Saccharomyces cerevisiae S288C: one gene and its partners. The gene in region 3 interacts genetically with the main gene of each other region. Each region holds a gene or a part of one and is shown on either strand. Other genes may lie near its edges.

Region 1 (4,303 bases), on a different chromosome or scaffold from region 3:
GCAGGAGGCAGTTGGAACAGATCATTACGGGAGACAACGCTGAGGAGGAGTTGGAAAGGTACATCCGTGCTATGGTCAGAGAGCAGATGCTGGGCCAGGGCTCCATGGCGGGTTCCGGGGACGAACCAGATTCCAAGAGAAGAAAATAACGACCCAGCACAAAGGCTCTTACAGCTTGCTAAAAGAAATTGAACGCGACGCTACATGAACTACTTCTTTCTCTTACATAGTCTTTTCCCTTATGTATCTTTTCTGTACATTAATAGACGTTCTTACAAGGTAAAATTTCACCGCGTTTTTAAATAGAATGAAAAAAACGTTGTAGAGTGAAAGAAAAGCAACAAATATACAGTTCACAAGGCAGCTTCGTATAGTAATACAGCACGAAAAACAGCTCATAGAAATGGTAACACAGACCAATCCGGTCCCTGTTACATATCCAACGGATGCTTATATCCCCACGTATCTGCCCGATGATAAGGTCTCCAATCTGGCAGATTTGAAAAAATTGATAGAAATGGATTCCAGACTAGATTTGTATCTGACAAGAAGGAGGCTGGATACGTCCATCAATTTACCTACAAACACCAAGACCAAGGACCATCCCCCCAATAAAGAGATGCTGAGGATTTACGTCTACAACACTACGGAAAGCAGCCCTCGCAGCGATTCTGGCACCCCAGCGGACTCAGGCAAGACTACATGGACACTGAGAATAGAAGGTAAGCTTCTGCACGAGTCCGCAAACGGAAAGCACCCATTTAGTGAGTTTTTGGAAGGTGTCGCGGTCGACTTTAAAAGACTGAAACCGCTGGGCATGGGCAAGAAGAGGAAACGCGATTCGTCATTGAGCCTTCCTTTGAATCTGCAACAACCCGAATACAATGATCAAGATAGCACCATGGGCGATAACGACAACGGCGAGGATGAGGACAGTGCAGAGGCAGAATCCAGGGAGGAAATTGTAGACGCACTGGAATGGAACTACGATGAAAACAACGTTGTGGAGTTTGATGGTATCGACATCAAGAGGCAAGGCAAGGATAATTTGCGATGCAGTATAACCATCCAGTTGAGGGGTGTCGACGGTGGAAAAGTACAGTACTCGCCCAACTTAGCTACCTTGATAGGTATGCAAACGGGCTCCGTTAATGACGCGGTTTATTCGATCTACAAGTACATTTTGATCAACAATCTGTTTGTTACGGAACAAACAGAGGCTCAAGATGGTTCCAACGATGCCGAAGACAGCAGTAACGAGAATAACAATAAAAACGGTGCTGGTGACGATGATGGCGTCGAGGGAAGTACTCCAAAGGATAAGCCCGAATTGGGTGAAGTGAAGCTAGATTCACTCTTACAAAAGGTATTGGATACAAACGCCGCGCACCTCCCCTTGATGAATGTTGTGCAAACCGTGAACAAACTGGTATCACCCCTACCGCCCATCATCCTAGATTATACAATTGATCTTTCCAAAGATACCACCTATGGTGCTACCACCTTGGATGTAGATGTGTCGCACATTCTCCACCAGCCTCAACCCCAGCCAAATTTACAAAAAGAGGAAGAAACAGATGCTGAAGACACAGCAAAACTACGTGAAATCACAAAGCTTGCCTTGCAGTTGAACTCTAGTGCTCAAAAATACCAGTTTTTCCACGAACTGTCTTTGCATCCAAGAGAAACGCTGACTCACTACTTATGGTCTTCCAAGCAAAACGAGCTTGTGCTGCAGGGCGACCAATACTTCAATGAAGATGCTGCAAGAACGAGTGACATATACAGTAACAACAACAATGACAGGTCACTAATGGGCAATATCTCACTACTGTACTCCCAAGGAAGACTATAACATCACTGTATGATCTCATTCTTTCTGCAATTATTGCACGCCTCCTCGTGAGTAGTGACCGTGCGAACAAAAGAGTCATTACAACGAGGAAATAGAAGAAAATGAAAAATTTTCGACAAAATGTATAGTCATTTCTATCAATAACGTATACACGTTTTTTTAATACTATCTATATTGTGTATCTTATATTTTTCCATTTGGTAGTATAGCAGCAAATATTTGTTCTTAGACGGCCACCATCCCTCACACCAATGCCTAACGCTTCCCAAGTTTACAGATCTACCAGATCCAGCTCTCCAAAGACAATCTCTTTTGAAGAGGCTATCATTCAAGGTCTGGCCACTGACGGTGGTCTTTTCATTCCACCAACTATTCCACAAGTGGACCAAGCCACTCTTTTCAATGATTGGTCAAAGCTCTCCTTCCAAGACTTAGCCTTTGCTATCATGAGACTATACATTGCCCAAGAAGAGATTCCAGATGCTGATCTAAAGGACTTGATCAAGAGATCTTATTCTACTTTCCGTTCTGATGAAGTCACCCCCTTGGTGCAAAACGTCACTGGTGACAAGGAGAATTTGCACATTTTAGAATTATTCCACGGTCCTACCTACGCTTTCAAAGACGTTGCTTTACAATTTGTCGGTAATCTTTTTGAATACTTCTTACAAAGAACCAACGCCAATTTACCTGAAGGCGAGAAAAAGCAAATCACTGTGGTCGGTGCTACTTCCGGTGACACTGGTTCTGCAGCCATCTACGGTTTAAGAGGCAAAAAGGACGTTTCCGTTTTCATCTTATATCCAACCGGTAGAATTTCCCCAATTCAAGAAGAACAAATGACCACCGTTCCAGATGAAAACGTCCAGACTTTGTCTGTTACCGGTACTTTCGACAACTGTCAAGATATCGTCAAAGCTATTTTCGGTGACAAAGAATTCAACTCTAAACACAACGTCGGTGCTGTTAACTCCATCAACTGGGCAAGAATCTTGGCCCAAATGACCTATTACTTTTATTCATTCTTCCAAGCCACCAACGGTAAGGACTCCAAGAAGGTCAAGTTCGTTGTGCCAAGTGGGAACTTCGGTGATATATTGGCCGGTTATTTTGCCAAGAAAATGGGTTTGCCTATTGAAAAACTGGCCATCGCTACCAATGAAAACGACATTTTGGACAGATTTTTGAAATCTGGTCTATACGAAAGATCAGACAAGGTTGCTGCTACTTTATCCCCAGCAATGGATATCTTAATCTCTTCTAACTTTGAAAGACTACTATGGTACCTAGCTCGTGAATACCTAGCTAATGGTGATGATTTGAAAGCCGGTGAAATCGTCAACAATTGGTTCCAGGAATTGAAGACCAACGGTAAGTTCCAAGTTGACAAATCCATCATTGAAGGCGCATCAAAGGACTTTACATCAGAAAGAGTTTCCAATGAAGAAACATCTGAAACAATCAAGAAGATCTACGAATCATCTGTAAATCCAAAACATTACATCTTAGATCCTCACACAGCTGTCGGTGTTTGCGCCACAGAAAGATTGATTGCAAAAGATAATGACAAGTCCATCCAATACATTTCTCTATCTACCGCTCACCCAGCTAAATTTGCCGATGCTGTAAACAATGCATTGTCTGGATTTTCCAATTATTCATTTGAAAAGGATGTTTTGCCTGAGGAATTGAAGAAACTATCCACATTAAAGAAGAAATTAAAATTCATCGAAAGAGCTGACGTTGAATTGGTCAAAAACGCTATTGAAGAAGAACTTGCTAAAATGAAATTATAAGATCTTCCTTTTTAATGAATATATTTTATCTTATATAACATATAGAATTCTATAATTAATAGAGAGTATGAAGTACGATTATCCTTAATGTTAATCAAAGTGAATCATGATTGCGAGAGTAAGGAACCATAAAATTAATCTTCATCTATGCTAATAATCTCAGAATTCTCGTTCCCAGGGTCTTCTTCTTTAGATACTAATCTAACTTTCCCGCCCTTTTCAACTGATATTTCAAACCCAGCTTTGCTCAATGCATCGTCTTGAACAACGTCTTGAGCTTCCATTTTTTTGACATATTCCTGATTCTTGGCATTATTCTTTAACAAAAACTTCAAGCAAACAATAGATCTTTCCTTGATAAACGGATCATTATCATCGATGACACAATTGGAAAGAATTAATGCAAGACCACCTAATTCTCTTATTTGATCTTGGATTTCAGGATGTGCATACACTAACGATGCCAATATTTCGATTATTACTAATTTACAATGGGGAAAATTATCAGCCCTAATAAAGGATTCGTTGGTATTAACACGGTTGAAAATTAATAACCGGTCCTCGATTTTGTTACCTTCATGATCTGTGATTTTAATTTCATTCACCGTATCACCGTTTCCTTTCAAAAAATTAATCCTCAACAAATTCTTTT
Region 2 (6,298 bases), on a different chromosome or scaffold from region 3:
TAACCTTAGTGGAATCTCTATCAAATTCCGGTAAATTGGAAGCTGAAACGGCTAACGGATCTTGATTTGATGGGACTTCCTTAGAAGTAACCGAAGCATAGGCGCTACCATGAAGAGAATGTGGATTTTGATGTAATTGTTGGGATTCCATTTTTAATAAGGCAATAATATTAGGTATGTAGATATACTAGAAGTTCTCCTCGAGGATTTAGGAATCCATAAAAGGGAATCTGCAATTCTACACAATTCTATAAATATTATTATCATCATTTTATATGTTAATATTCATTGATCCTATTACATTATCAATCCTTGCGTTTCAGCTTCCACTAATTTAGATGACTATTTCTCATCATTTGCGTCATCTTCTAACACCGTATATGATAATATACTAGTAACGTAAATACTAGTTAGTAGATGATAGTTGATTTTTATTCCAACAAGAAGGTTGCTCTTTATATAGGTATATGTCACTAATTAATGTGCTCTGACGCATATCCTTATGGCGCTAATTTGCTCGTCTAAGGGTTCAACGAAAACTCCGGACCTAAAGATCGCGAGCAAAATTCAATTAAGTTTTTTTTTTTTAAAAAAAAGTTGAGTAAATACTTATTTAGTTTTGGGTTACTAAATTAAAAATTGGGTGTGATCACTAATCTAATGTCTTGTTAACGGAGGTAGATGATGAAGATCCGGACGAGGCAGGACGTTTCAACTTCTCAACAGATACCGACTTTCTTCTGGTTTTGCGTTTCTGGAAACTCAAGTTGGGGCTCGTAATGTTTACTGGTGTAAATTTCGGAGGCATAATGACCCTGGTAAATTTGTTTCTCAATTTCTGTTGAACATAGTCCATATCCAAATGCTTCGTCAGGGAAATCTTTGGAATACAACTAATATAATGCCTGTCATCTAATTGAACATCTAACGGATCTTGAGTATGACACCCAGGAGACATTTTTAGTCTAATGGAATGCGATTTTTGACCAGAAGCATCCGTACTCTCATAAAGTTCAAAAGTGATCTGCGACAAGTAGTCTAGTTCTGGTAAAGCATTTCTAGCGATTCTCATTGGAATACCAGATTCGTATATGATATTCAATAGAGTGTAAATATGGGACTCTTTGGTGAAGTACGCAACACAAGCTGGAGTTTCTCTATTTTTCATGTCTCCTATATCATTTAGTATTTGCTTTGCCAAAGGCAACGAAGTTAACAAACCGATATCCAGTTTCTCTGCATCTGAAATACCATATTCTTTGGGGCAGATAAAATCAAACAATACTTTGGCCAGCTTATACAGCTCCCGCAACTGCATAAAGCGTGGCTCATCGAATTGAGAAGAAGATTTGGGGTTTCTTGCTGTAGATGTTTTTCCGCTTTCCAGAACCCATCCTAACGACCCAACACTATTACTACTGTTCTTTCCAGAATTGTTCATGCTATGACTGTCTATTATCTTAAAATTATTTTTGGCGAGAACGTTAATTGGGTATCGGTCAACTAAAGAATGACTGCCGAGTTCATCGGCGATAGCTTCATTTGGAAGACCCGGGTCAAATATGTTCTCTAGGAACTGCCTGTTGTGAAGAGCATCATACTTCATAGTATCATACAATTCAGAAATTTTAGAAGGATCGACTTTTTCAGCATTATTGAATTCTTTGAAAAGTTTATCCCACCTTTCCTTAAACAAACTAGGATCTTCAGAAGTACACCATCTTGTTTGCATCGAGTTGACATCCTTTTTAGCAAAGTTGTTATCCATAATTTTTTTATGGTAATTCATCAATTCAACCACTCGCTTTATGACTAAATATGGCTCCGGCATCTTTGAAGGCCAGGCAAATTGTGGGGGAGCTTCCTTACCCTCTCTTAAAAGTGGCTTCAACTTCTTTTTCACCTTATCCATTAAATCTTTGGCGGCATTACTGTCATCTAAAAGATCCTTTCTAATACTGATTTCATCGCTACCTAATTCATCGGCCCCAAAAAGAGCTCTGGTCCAGTACTGCGCCGTATGAAGAACACGTCTCTCAGACGATGAAAATATCTTGATGTTTTGTAGAATGCTCTTATTCAATAGGTCAAAATCTTGTCTCATTTGCTCTCCGAGTTCCGTAGCCTGATATTTGGCAGAATGAGTGGGTTCACCACCCCATTTCAAAATAAACTGAACTTTTTCCACTTCGTTCTCTTTATTTAAAACCGGTTTCAATTGTATTTTCGTACCGGGAAAATTCAGTTTCTTTTCTAGAGCGTTTGCTAACACTTTAATTTTAGCTGGATTTCCTGCTTTTTCATCTAACGCAATTCTTAAGGCCTGAAGAACAATCTTTAAATCATTTACATTCCGAATGACAACTTCTTCTTTGTGACCTTTTAGTAACGATATAAAAATAGGCGAAGTGAATGAATGTTTGAATTTCTGTTTTGGTGTTCTGTCCGCGTGACGGATAATGATAGCCAGTCCTTTGAATACCCACTTTTGTTCCTTTTCTTCACGAATAATGGGCAGATTCTTCTTTTCCATATCCATCTTCTTTTTGGCTTCAATGAAGGTACTTCTCAATATATTGGCGCATGAATCATAGTAAGCTTTGTTATCCTTTACAAAAGAAAATCCGTTAACATCAATGACGTAACTTTTACCAGAAACGCGAAGCAAATCGAAACCACAGATCATTTGTGAAAAAGCTTTGGAAACTTTCCCAGCAATGGTTTTCTCTTCGTCTGATAACTCAGTAATATATCTAACTTCTTTACCATGAGTATTTCTTCTAACTATACCATCAACCACAGGTGATTTCCTAGTTTCAGCGTGACAAAAGTTCTCACCAATCGTATAAGCCTTCACATCTTCGAAATTATCGGTATCCATAAACTGCTCATAAATGTAAGACCCCTCCGTACGAGGATGAACCAAAGTAGGATCAAACTCAGAAGACTTGTTACCAACTTTACGGAATAGACGACGACCGCCTCCTCCGTTCTTAGAATGATAGTATATATAAATGTTGTGGTCTTCACCATCAACGGGCTTTTCAACAAAGGGCTTAGTCATGGTTTTCCCATCAACTTCTAAAGTATCATCATCAACCATTTTCCATTCCGGTTCTTCAACGGGTTTAACTTCTACGCCATGCTCACGTAATTTTGCCCTTAATTCTTCGTTGGCACGGGGACCACCATCTCTACTGATTTCCAGTCTAGGAGGTGTTGGAACGTTGTAGGCTTCTAATACTTGTAGACATAATCTCCTGTCCCACAAAATCTTTTGCATTATTAAATCATTGATAATGAAAGGCTTGCGTAACTTGACGTATTTAATTGCTTTATCTAGGGGAAATCCTGAAGAAAAGAAAGATATCAAAAAGTCGCAAGTTGGCCAATTCTCTATTCTTTCATCTAGAATCACCTTATCTCCAAAAATGACAGTTTCAAATTCACCATGTTCAATTAAACGATTCAAAATGTGTCTCATTGGCTTTGAAAGGACTTTTGCATCCATTGCACATACCCCAATCTTCCCTACCTTGGGTAGCCTAGGTTTGGGATGACTAGTCGAGGATTTGCGTGAAGAAGCTGATGAAGTAGGTACAGAGTTAGTTCCCATGTTAGTCTGCTCAGCGTCCATTGTTCCTTGAGGTAAATGGGGCGATCCGGTCTTGGAGATGGAATTTATGTTATCTGCATCATTGACTATGTTAGAATTGCTGAGCCCCTCAGGATCAGCTTCTGACTTTGATTCACTGTCTGCCTTTTTTAAACCGGAAGTTGTAACTGTATTGGTGTTGTTTCCGTTTCCTAGTGCAGTGCTTATGGTTCTTTGCAGAGTATCATGCACGGTGAGATTCTCTTCACTGTGATCATCTTGAATACCGGGAGGTGGCAATTTCAAAGACATATTTTCGCTAGCTGACGTCTTAGGACTGAAACCCTCCAATATTGGTGCAATAGATTGCATAGCCTTCTGTGTGTTTTTGTTTAGGAAAAGGGGTGACATCTCAGAAGGTGCACTAGGTAAGTTATTTTTTGTCTCTTGTTGAGGAACCTCATCAGATTCAATCGGTTCCTTCTTTATCCCACTCATGACCTTCTGCAATATATTAATATGCTACGAGATGCTTTTGAATTTGTATGAAATGCTCAGTGGGTAATTTAAGTGGTGAACATATTGATTCAATGATTAATTGCATTTTTCCTATCTTAAATAAATGATTTTCTAAAAACATTTTTGAGCACGTGCTTTTTTTTTTTTAACTGAAAAATTTTGAGAAAAATTTCGCGATGAGATTGCTAATGAAATTTAATAAGTCCTAAGCACAATAAATATACAGCGAAACAGCAGCAAGGAATAAGACACTGAAAAGGCTATAGCGAGTTAGGAATAGTACATTATGTCTATCGACTTGAAAAAAAGAAAAGTCGAAGAAGACGTAAGAAGTAGAGGGAAAAATTCTAAGATATTTTCCCCTTTCCGGATTATTGGTAATGTTAGCAATGGTGTTCCTTTTGCTACTGGTACATTGGGATCTACCTTTTACATTGTAACGTGTGTTGGTAAAACATTTCAGATATATGATGCGAATACCTTACATTTACTTTTTGTTTCCGAGAAAGAAACACCATCCTCAATTGTAGCATTATCAGCACACTTTCACTACGTCTACGCAGCATATGAAAACAAGGTTGGTATTTACAAGAGGGGTATTGAGGAACATTTGCTTGAGCTAGAAACTGATGCAAATGTCGAACATTTGTGCATATTCGGAGATTATCTTTGCGCTTCCACCGACGACAATTCCATCTTTATATACAAGAAGTCCGATCCGCAAGATAAATATCCATCAGAATTCTACACTAAACTTACCGTTACTGAAATTCAAGGTGGCGAAATTGTGTCTTTACAACATTTGGCAACTTATTTGAATAAATTAACTGTCGTTACCAAATCTAACGTTTTACTTTTTAACGTCAGAACCGGGAAGCTTGTATTCACATCAAACGAATTTCCAGACCAAATCACAACTGCTGAACCCGCTCCAGTCCTGGATATTATTGCTCTAGGTACCGTGACCGGTGAGGTTATTATGTTTAATATGAGAAAAGGTAAAAGGATCCGCACAATTAAGATTCCGCAATCAAGAATCTCCTCATTGAGTTTCAGAACCGACGGTTCTTCTCATTTGAGTGTGGGAACGAGCAGTGGTGATCTAATATTTTATGATTTAGATCGCCGTTCAAGAATACACGTTTTGAAGAACATTCATAGAGAATCGTACGGTGGTGTCACTCAGGCTACTTTTTTAAATGGTCAACCCATTATTGTTACATCAGGTGGTGACAATTCCCTGAAGGAGTACGTTTTCGATCCGTCATTATCTCAAGGAAGCGGTGATGTAGTTGTTCAACCGCCAAGATATCTACGTTCCAGAGGGGGTCATTCTCAACCACCTTCATACATTGCGTTTGCTGATTCGCAATCACACTTCATGCTATCAGCATCCAAAGATAGATCATTATGGAGCTTTTCTCTGCGTAAAGATGCACAGTCGCAAGAAATGTCACAAAGGTTACACAAGAAACAAGATGGCGGCAGGGTAGGTGGTAGTACAATTAAGTCTAAATTTCCTGAAATAGTGGCTCTTGCAATTGAAAATGCCAGAATAGGTGAATGGGAAAACATTATCACTGCACATAAAGATGAAAAGTTTGCAAGAACCTGGGATATGCGAAATAAAAGAGTTGGCAGGTGGACTTTTGATACTACTGATGATGGATTTGTTAAATCTGTGGCCATGTCGCAATGTGGTAATTTTGGATTCATCGGTTCTTCTAACGGCTCTATCACCATCTATAATATGCAAAGTGGTATACTCCGTAAAAAATACAAATTGCACAAAAGAGCAGTCACCGGTATATCCTTAGATGGTATGAATCGTAAAATGGTTTCTTGTGGACTAGACGGTATTGTTGGTTTTTATGACTTTAACAAGTCAACCTTGTTGGGAAAATTGAAATTGGATGCACCTATTACCGCAATGGTTTATCATCGTTCTTCCGATCTATTTGCATTGGCTTTAGACGACTTATCAATTGTTGTTATTGACGCAGTTACTCAAAGAGTTGTTCGTCAATTATGGGGTCATAGTAATAGAATAACTGCATTTGATTTCTCACCTGAGGGCCGTTGGATTGTTTCCGCTTCTCTAGATTCCACCATTAGAACGTGGGATCTTCCAACCGGAGGATGTATCGATGGTATCATAGTAGATAATGTCGCTACGAATGTAAA
Region 3 (4,592 bases):
CGAAGTCGCAAAAGACCTTGCCAAAATCACCAAGTGTTCCAATATTTTGGTTAAAGGTGGTCACATTCCATGGAATGATGAAGAAGGAAAGTACATCACTGATGTCCTTTACTTAGGGGCCGAACAAAGGTTTATAACCTTCAAGGGTAATTTTGTTAATACAACCCACACTCATGGTACCGGGTGCACCCTAGCTTCCGCCATTGCATCAAATTTGGCTCGCGGTTATTCCCTTCCCCAATCCGTTTATGGCGGTATTGAGTACGTCCAAAATGCGGTGGCCATTGGCTGCGATGTCACGAAAGAGACTGTTAAGGACAACGGGCCAATTAATCATGTCTACGCCATCGAAATTCCATTAGAAAAAATGCTCAGTGACGAATGTTTCACTGCATCAGATGCCGTACACAAAAAGCCAGTCAAAAGTTCTCTTAACAAAATCCCTGGAGGAAGTTTCTATAAATATCTGATAAATCACCCTAAAGTTAAGCCCCACTGGGACTCCTATGTGAACCATGATTTTGTTAGAAAAGTAGCAGACGGTTCCTTAGAGCCTAAGAAGTTCCAATTTTTTATCGAACAAGATTACCTGTACTTAGTCAATTATGCCAGGATTTCCTGCATCGCGGGTAGTAAATCCCCGTGTCTTGAAGACCTGGAGAAAGAGCTAGTTATTGTCGAATGCGTTCGTAATGGGCTTTGCCAACATGAAAGGAGATTAAGGGAGGAATTTGGAATTAAGGATCCCGACTACTTACAAAAGATTCAAAGAGGTCCTGCATTAAGGGCTTACTGTCGTTACTTTAATGATGTTTCCAGAAGAGGTAACTGGCAGGAGTTAGTTATAGCTCTTAATCCTTGCTTAATGGGCTATGTTCACGCTTTGACCAAGATCAAGGATGAAGTAACTGCAGCAGAAGGCTCCGTTTACCGTGAATGGTGTGAAACTTACTCATCGTCATGGTGCCACGAAGCTATGCTTGAAGGCGAAAAGCTGTTGAATCACATCTTGGAAACATACCCTCCAGAAAAACTTGATACACTGGTCACAATATATGCTGAAGTTTGTGAATTGGAAGCTAACTTCTGGACCGCCGCTCTAGAATATGAATGAATAGACACATCGATTTTTACAAAATATACAAAAAGTTATACGTAGAAATAATGAATTATGCAAAAATAGGTGTCAATAATTTAAGAATGTTCCTTCATTTTTATTAATATAGTAAAAATTGTTCGGCAGAAACCAAAATCTTCGTTCTGATTTTGGCGTTCTAGCGGCGCTACCATCCTAGTCACATACCTCAAGTATTCACCATAATTTCGTTGATAACTTATCCGGCAGAAACTTTCTCATCTTTCAGAAACCTAACACTGCAGTTGGACATTCTCGTAACATTAGCTGACAGAACTACGACAGACAGTTGCGACATAAAAAAAAAAGAATCACAACTGAACGCATCTTAGGGAAACAGTTAATGTTGGCACTGATGATTATTTGAATAGTGCGTCTTTATATATATATATTTTCTTCAAGGTATTCCTCCATCTGAAAATAATTGAGCATTCGACCCAATATAAACGTTTTCTATGCGCTAAAATTACTGCATACTATCAATAGGACTGCTATGGATCTATAATAGTTATGTAATAAAGATGAAGATATTTCAATGGTATAAAATACGCTCGATATACTATAGCCATCATTAGACGTAACTTCAACTAAGCGAGAAAGGGTATCTCTAATTATGATAATAGTCTTTGAAAGTCGTTGATAGCGATGTTAATTGAACGTATTGAAATATTGCTAGACGATGAAAAATTAAGAGTTAAACGGAAAGTGGGCTGAACAAAAAAAAGCATATAGAGAAACTAAGTCGTACAATTAAATATAGGAGTATTTTTGAAAATTGTAAATTACGAACTTGGAGGGACACAGAATGGCTTCTGCAGTGTATTTTTGCGATCATAATGGGAAACCACTCCTATCAAGAAGGTATAGAGATGATATTCCGCTTTCTGCAATTGACAAATTCCCTATATTACTCTCGGATTTAGAGGAACAATCAAATCTGATTCCTCCATGTTTGAACCACAATGGTCTGGAATATCTATTTATACAGCATAACGATCTATACGTGGTGGCAATTGTGACTTCTCTTAGTGCCAATGCGGCTGCCATTTTTACTTTTTTGCACAAATTAGTGGAGGTATTAAGTGACTACTTAAAAACCGTTGAAGAAGAATCTATTAGAGATAATTTTGTTATAATATATGAATTACTGGACGAAGTGATGGATTATGGTATACCACAGATCACAGAAACTAAGATGCTGAAACAGTACATAACACAAAAATCCTTCAAACTAGTTAAATCCGCCAAGAAGAAGAGGAATGCTACTAGACCACCCGTCGCACTAACAAATTCAGTCAGTTGGAGGCCAGAAGGCATCACTCACAAGAAAAATGAAGCCTTTCTGGATATCGTCGAATCTATTAATATGCTCATGACTCAAAAAGGTCAAGTTTTGAGATCAGAAATTATCGGCGATGTTAAGGTTAACTCAAAATTGTCTGGTATGCCTGATCTGAAATTAGGTATTAATGATAAAGGCATTTTCTCCAAATATTTGGATGATGATACAAATATCCCATCAGCGAGCGCGACAACATCCGATAATAACACAGAAACTGATAAAAAACCATCAATAACATCATCATCGGCCACAAACAAGAAGAAAGTTAATATTGAATTGGAAGATTTGAAATTTCATCAATGTGTCCGATTAAGCAAATTCGAGAATGAAAAAATTATAACGTTTATACCTCCTGATGGAAAGTTCGATTTAATGAACTACAGACTATCTACTACGATAAAACCGTTAATTTGGTGTGATGTAAACGTTCAAGTTCATTCGAATTCTAGAATTGAAATTCACTGTAAGGCCAAGGCCCAAATTAAAAGAAAATCTACTGCAACTAATGTAGAGATATTGATACCGGTCCCGGACGACGCGGATACACCGACTTTTAAATATTCACACGGGTCTCTAAAGTATGTCCCTGAAAAAAGTGCAATCTTATGGAAAATAAGAAGTTTTCCCGGTGGTAAAGAGTACTCAATGTCTGCCGAATTGGGACTGCCTTCAATATCAAATAACGAGGATGGCAATAGAACAATGCCAAAAAGTAACGCGGAAATCTTGAAGGGACCTGTCCAAATCAAATTTCAAATACCCTACTTTACTACTTCAGGTATTCAAGTACGTTATCTTAAAATTAACGAACCCAAATTGCAGTATAAGAGTTACCCATGGGTAAGATATATCACGCAAAGTGGTGATGATTATACAATAAGGCTGACGTAATGTCTGAAAAATATATAAAAAAAGCAATTTCTACGGTGCATGGACAAAGACACAGGGTACGTATGTCCTTATTCCTCTTTTTCTCCCCCCTCCCATTGACAATTATGATAATGACATAAAGTTGTTTATATATTTTTGTTTTTATATAGATGCTCATTCAGGGTTTGTTATATACATAGACATAAGAGAATAACTTTTTTTCTTTCTGTATTTCATTTTATTGTTTATAATGTTTTCCTCTACCAAGAAAATAGGGAGAAATGGAAGATAAAGAAACACTCTCCTCTATTCCTGTTGATATTCAGATTCAGGCTCGCTGTCGTTTGAGTTCGAGTCTATGCCTGATTCTCCGTTGTCATCGTCGTCAGAACCATCACTTGAAGTAGAGTTCTGTGCTTTTTCCTCGGCTTCCACTTTTAATTCATGCAAGATATCAAAACATTCTGCTAATAAAGCATTCAATATACCTTGGCCTTCAGGTATATTGCCATCAGAGTCATAGAATATACCTTCAGTTCTCAGGTTGTCCAATGAAGCCAATTTCATTTGATAAGGGTATAACTCTCTTTCATTATTCACACCTCCCATTCTTTTCAATTCTAATAGGCAACGACGAACTGTAGATAGTTGATTGTGAATTGGCTGCAACGCTTCAGATACGGGCTCTGAACTTTCCAACAGTTTATAAATTATGGCATAACATCTACGCAACAGGTATAAAAGTATTGATTGCCCCTTTGAGTCCTGAGATTTTGTTGGAAACTTACCATTGATTCTTTTGTTATCAATTTCGTTCAATTTTTTTTGGTAAGAAAATAAATCGGTTTCTCTCAAAGTCCATCTTCTTGTGATCATTAAATTTTCTAAGGTAGTCTTTATATCAATCAGCTGTTCATATATTGGCTGTAAATATGGATCTAAAGTCAACCCGCCATTTTTTTGGTGTGATAAATCGTTAACTAAATCATGGCAATCATCCAATAAACCATTAAGGACACTTTGGCCTTTTTCTGCCACCTGATGAGACTCCAAGGACTTGAATTTACCAGAATCGTCACGATTAGATTCTAATTCACTTAATTCGTTCTTCAAAACTGATAATTTCTCATGGACATACTCTTGAGATACTAAATGTTTGTCATCCGTTAAGCTTTCATTGTTCGTTTGCAAATCATTTTGTTCCTGCAATAAAGAGTTGGTATTAATATCAGATTTAGACATTGT

What was found.
Region 1: mutations in APM1 (region 3) and THR4 together harm fitness more than expected from each alone (negative genetic interaction), as found in Saccharomyces cerevisiae (4 studies listed by BioGRID).
Region 2: mutations in APM1 (region 3) and VIP1 together harm fitness more than expected from each alone (negative genetic interaction), as found in Saccharomyces cerevisiae (2 studies listed by BioGRID).

The regions. Positions count from the first base shown.
Region 1 is NC_001135.5:214,591-218,893, forward strand, and holds THR4 (threonine synthase THR4), read left to right. Parts: upstream 1-2,106; coding exon 2,107-3,651; downstream 3,652-4,303. Other genes in the region: YCR051W (uncharacterized protein), read left to right, coding at 1-149; RSC6 (Rsc6p), read left to right, coding at 404-1,855; CTR86 (Ctr86p), read right to left, coding at 3,786-4,303. UniProt on the Saccharomyces cerevisiae protein: Catalyzes the gamma-elimination of phosphate from L-phosphohomoserine and the beta-addition of water to produce L-threonine.
Region 2 is NC_001144.5:935,336-941,633, reverse strand, and holds VIP1 (inositol polyphosphate kinase VIP1), read right to left. Parts: upstream 4,094-6,298; coding exon 653-4,093; downstream 1-652. Other genes in the region: YLR410W-A (gag protein), read right to left, coding at 1-151; rRNA-processing protein UTP21, read left to right, coding at 4,401-6,298. UniProt on the Saccharomyces cerevisiae protein: Bifunctional inositol kinase that acts in concert with the IP6K kinases to synthesize the diphosphate group-containing inositol pyrophosphates diphosphoinositol pentakisphosphate, PP-InsP5, and bis-diphosphoinositol tetrakisphosphate, (PP)2-InsP4.
Region 3 is NC_001148.4:50,020-54,611, reverse strand, and holds APM1 (Apm1p), read left to right. Parts: upstream 1-1,940; coding exon 1,941-3,368; downstream 3,369-4,592. Other genes in the region: THI21 (bifunctional hydroxymethylpyrimidine kinase/phosphomethylpyrimidine kinase), read left to right, coding at 1-1,114; CUB1 (Cub1p), read right to left, coding at 3,654-4,592. UniProt on the Saccharomyces cerevisiae protein: Component of the adaptor complexes which link clathrin to receptors in coated vesicles. Clathrin-associated protein complexes are believed to interact with the cytoplasmic tails of membrane proteins, leading to their selection and concentration.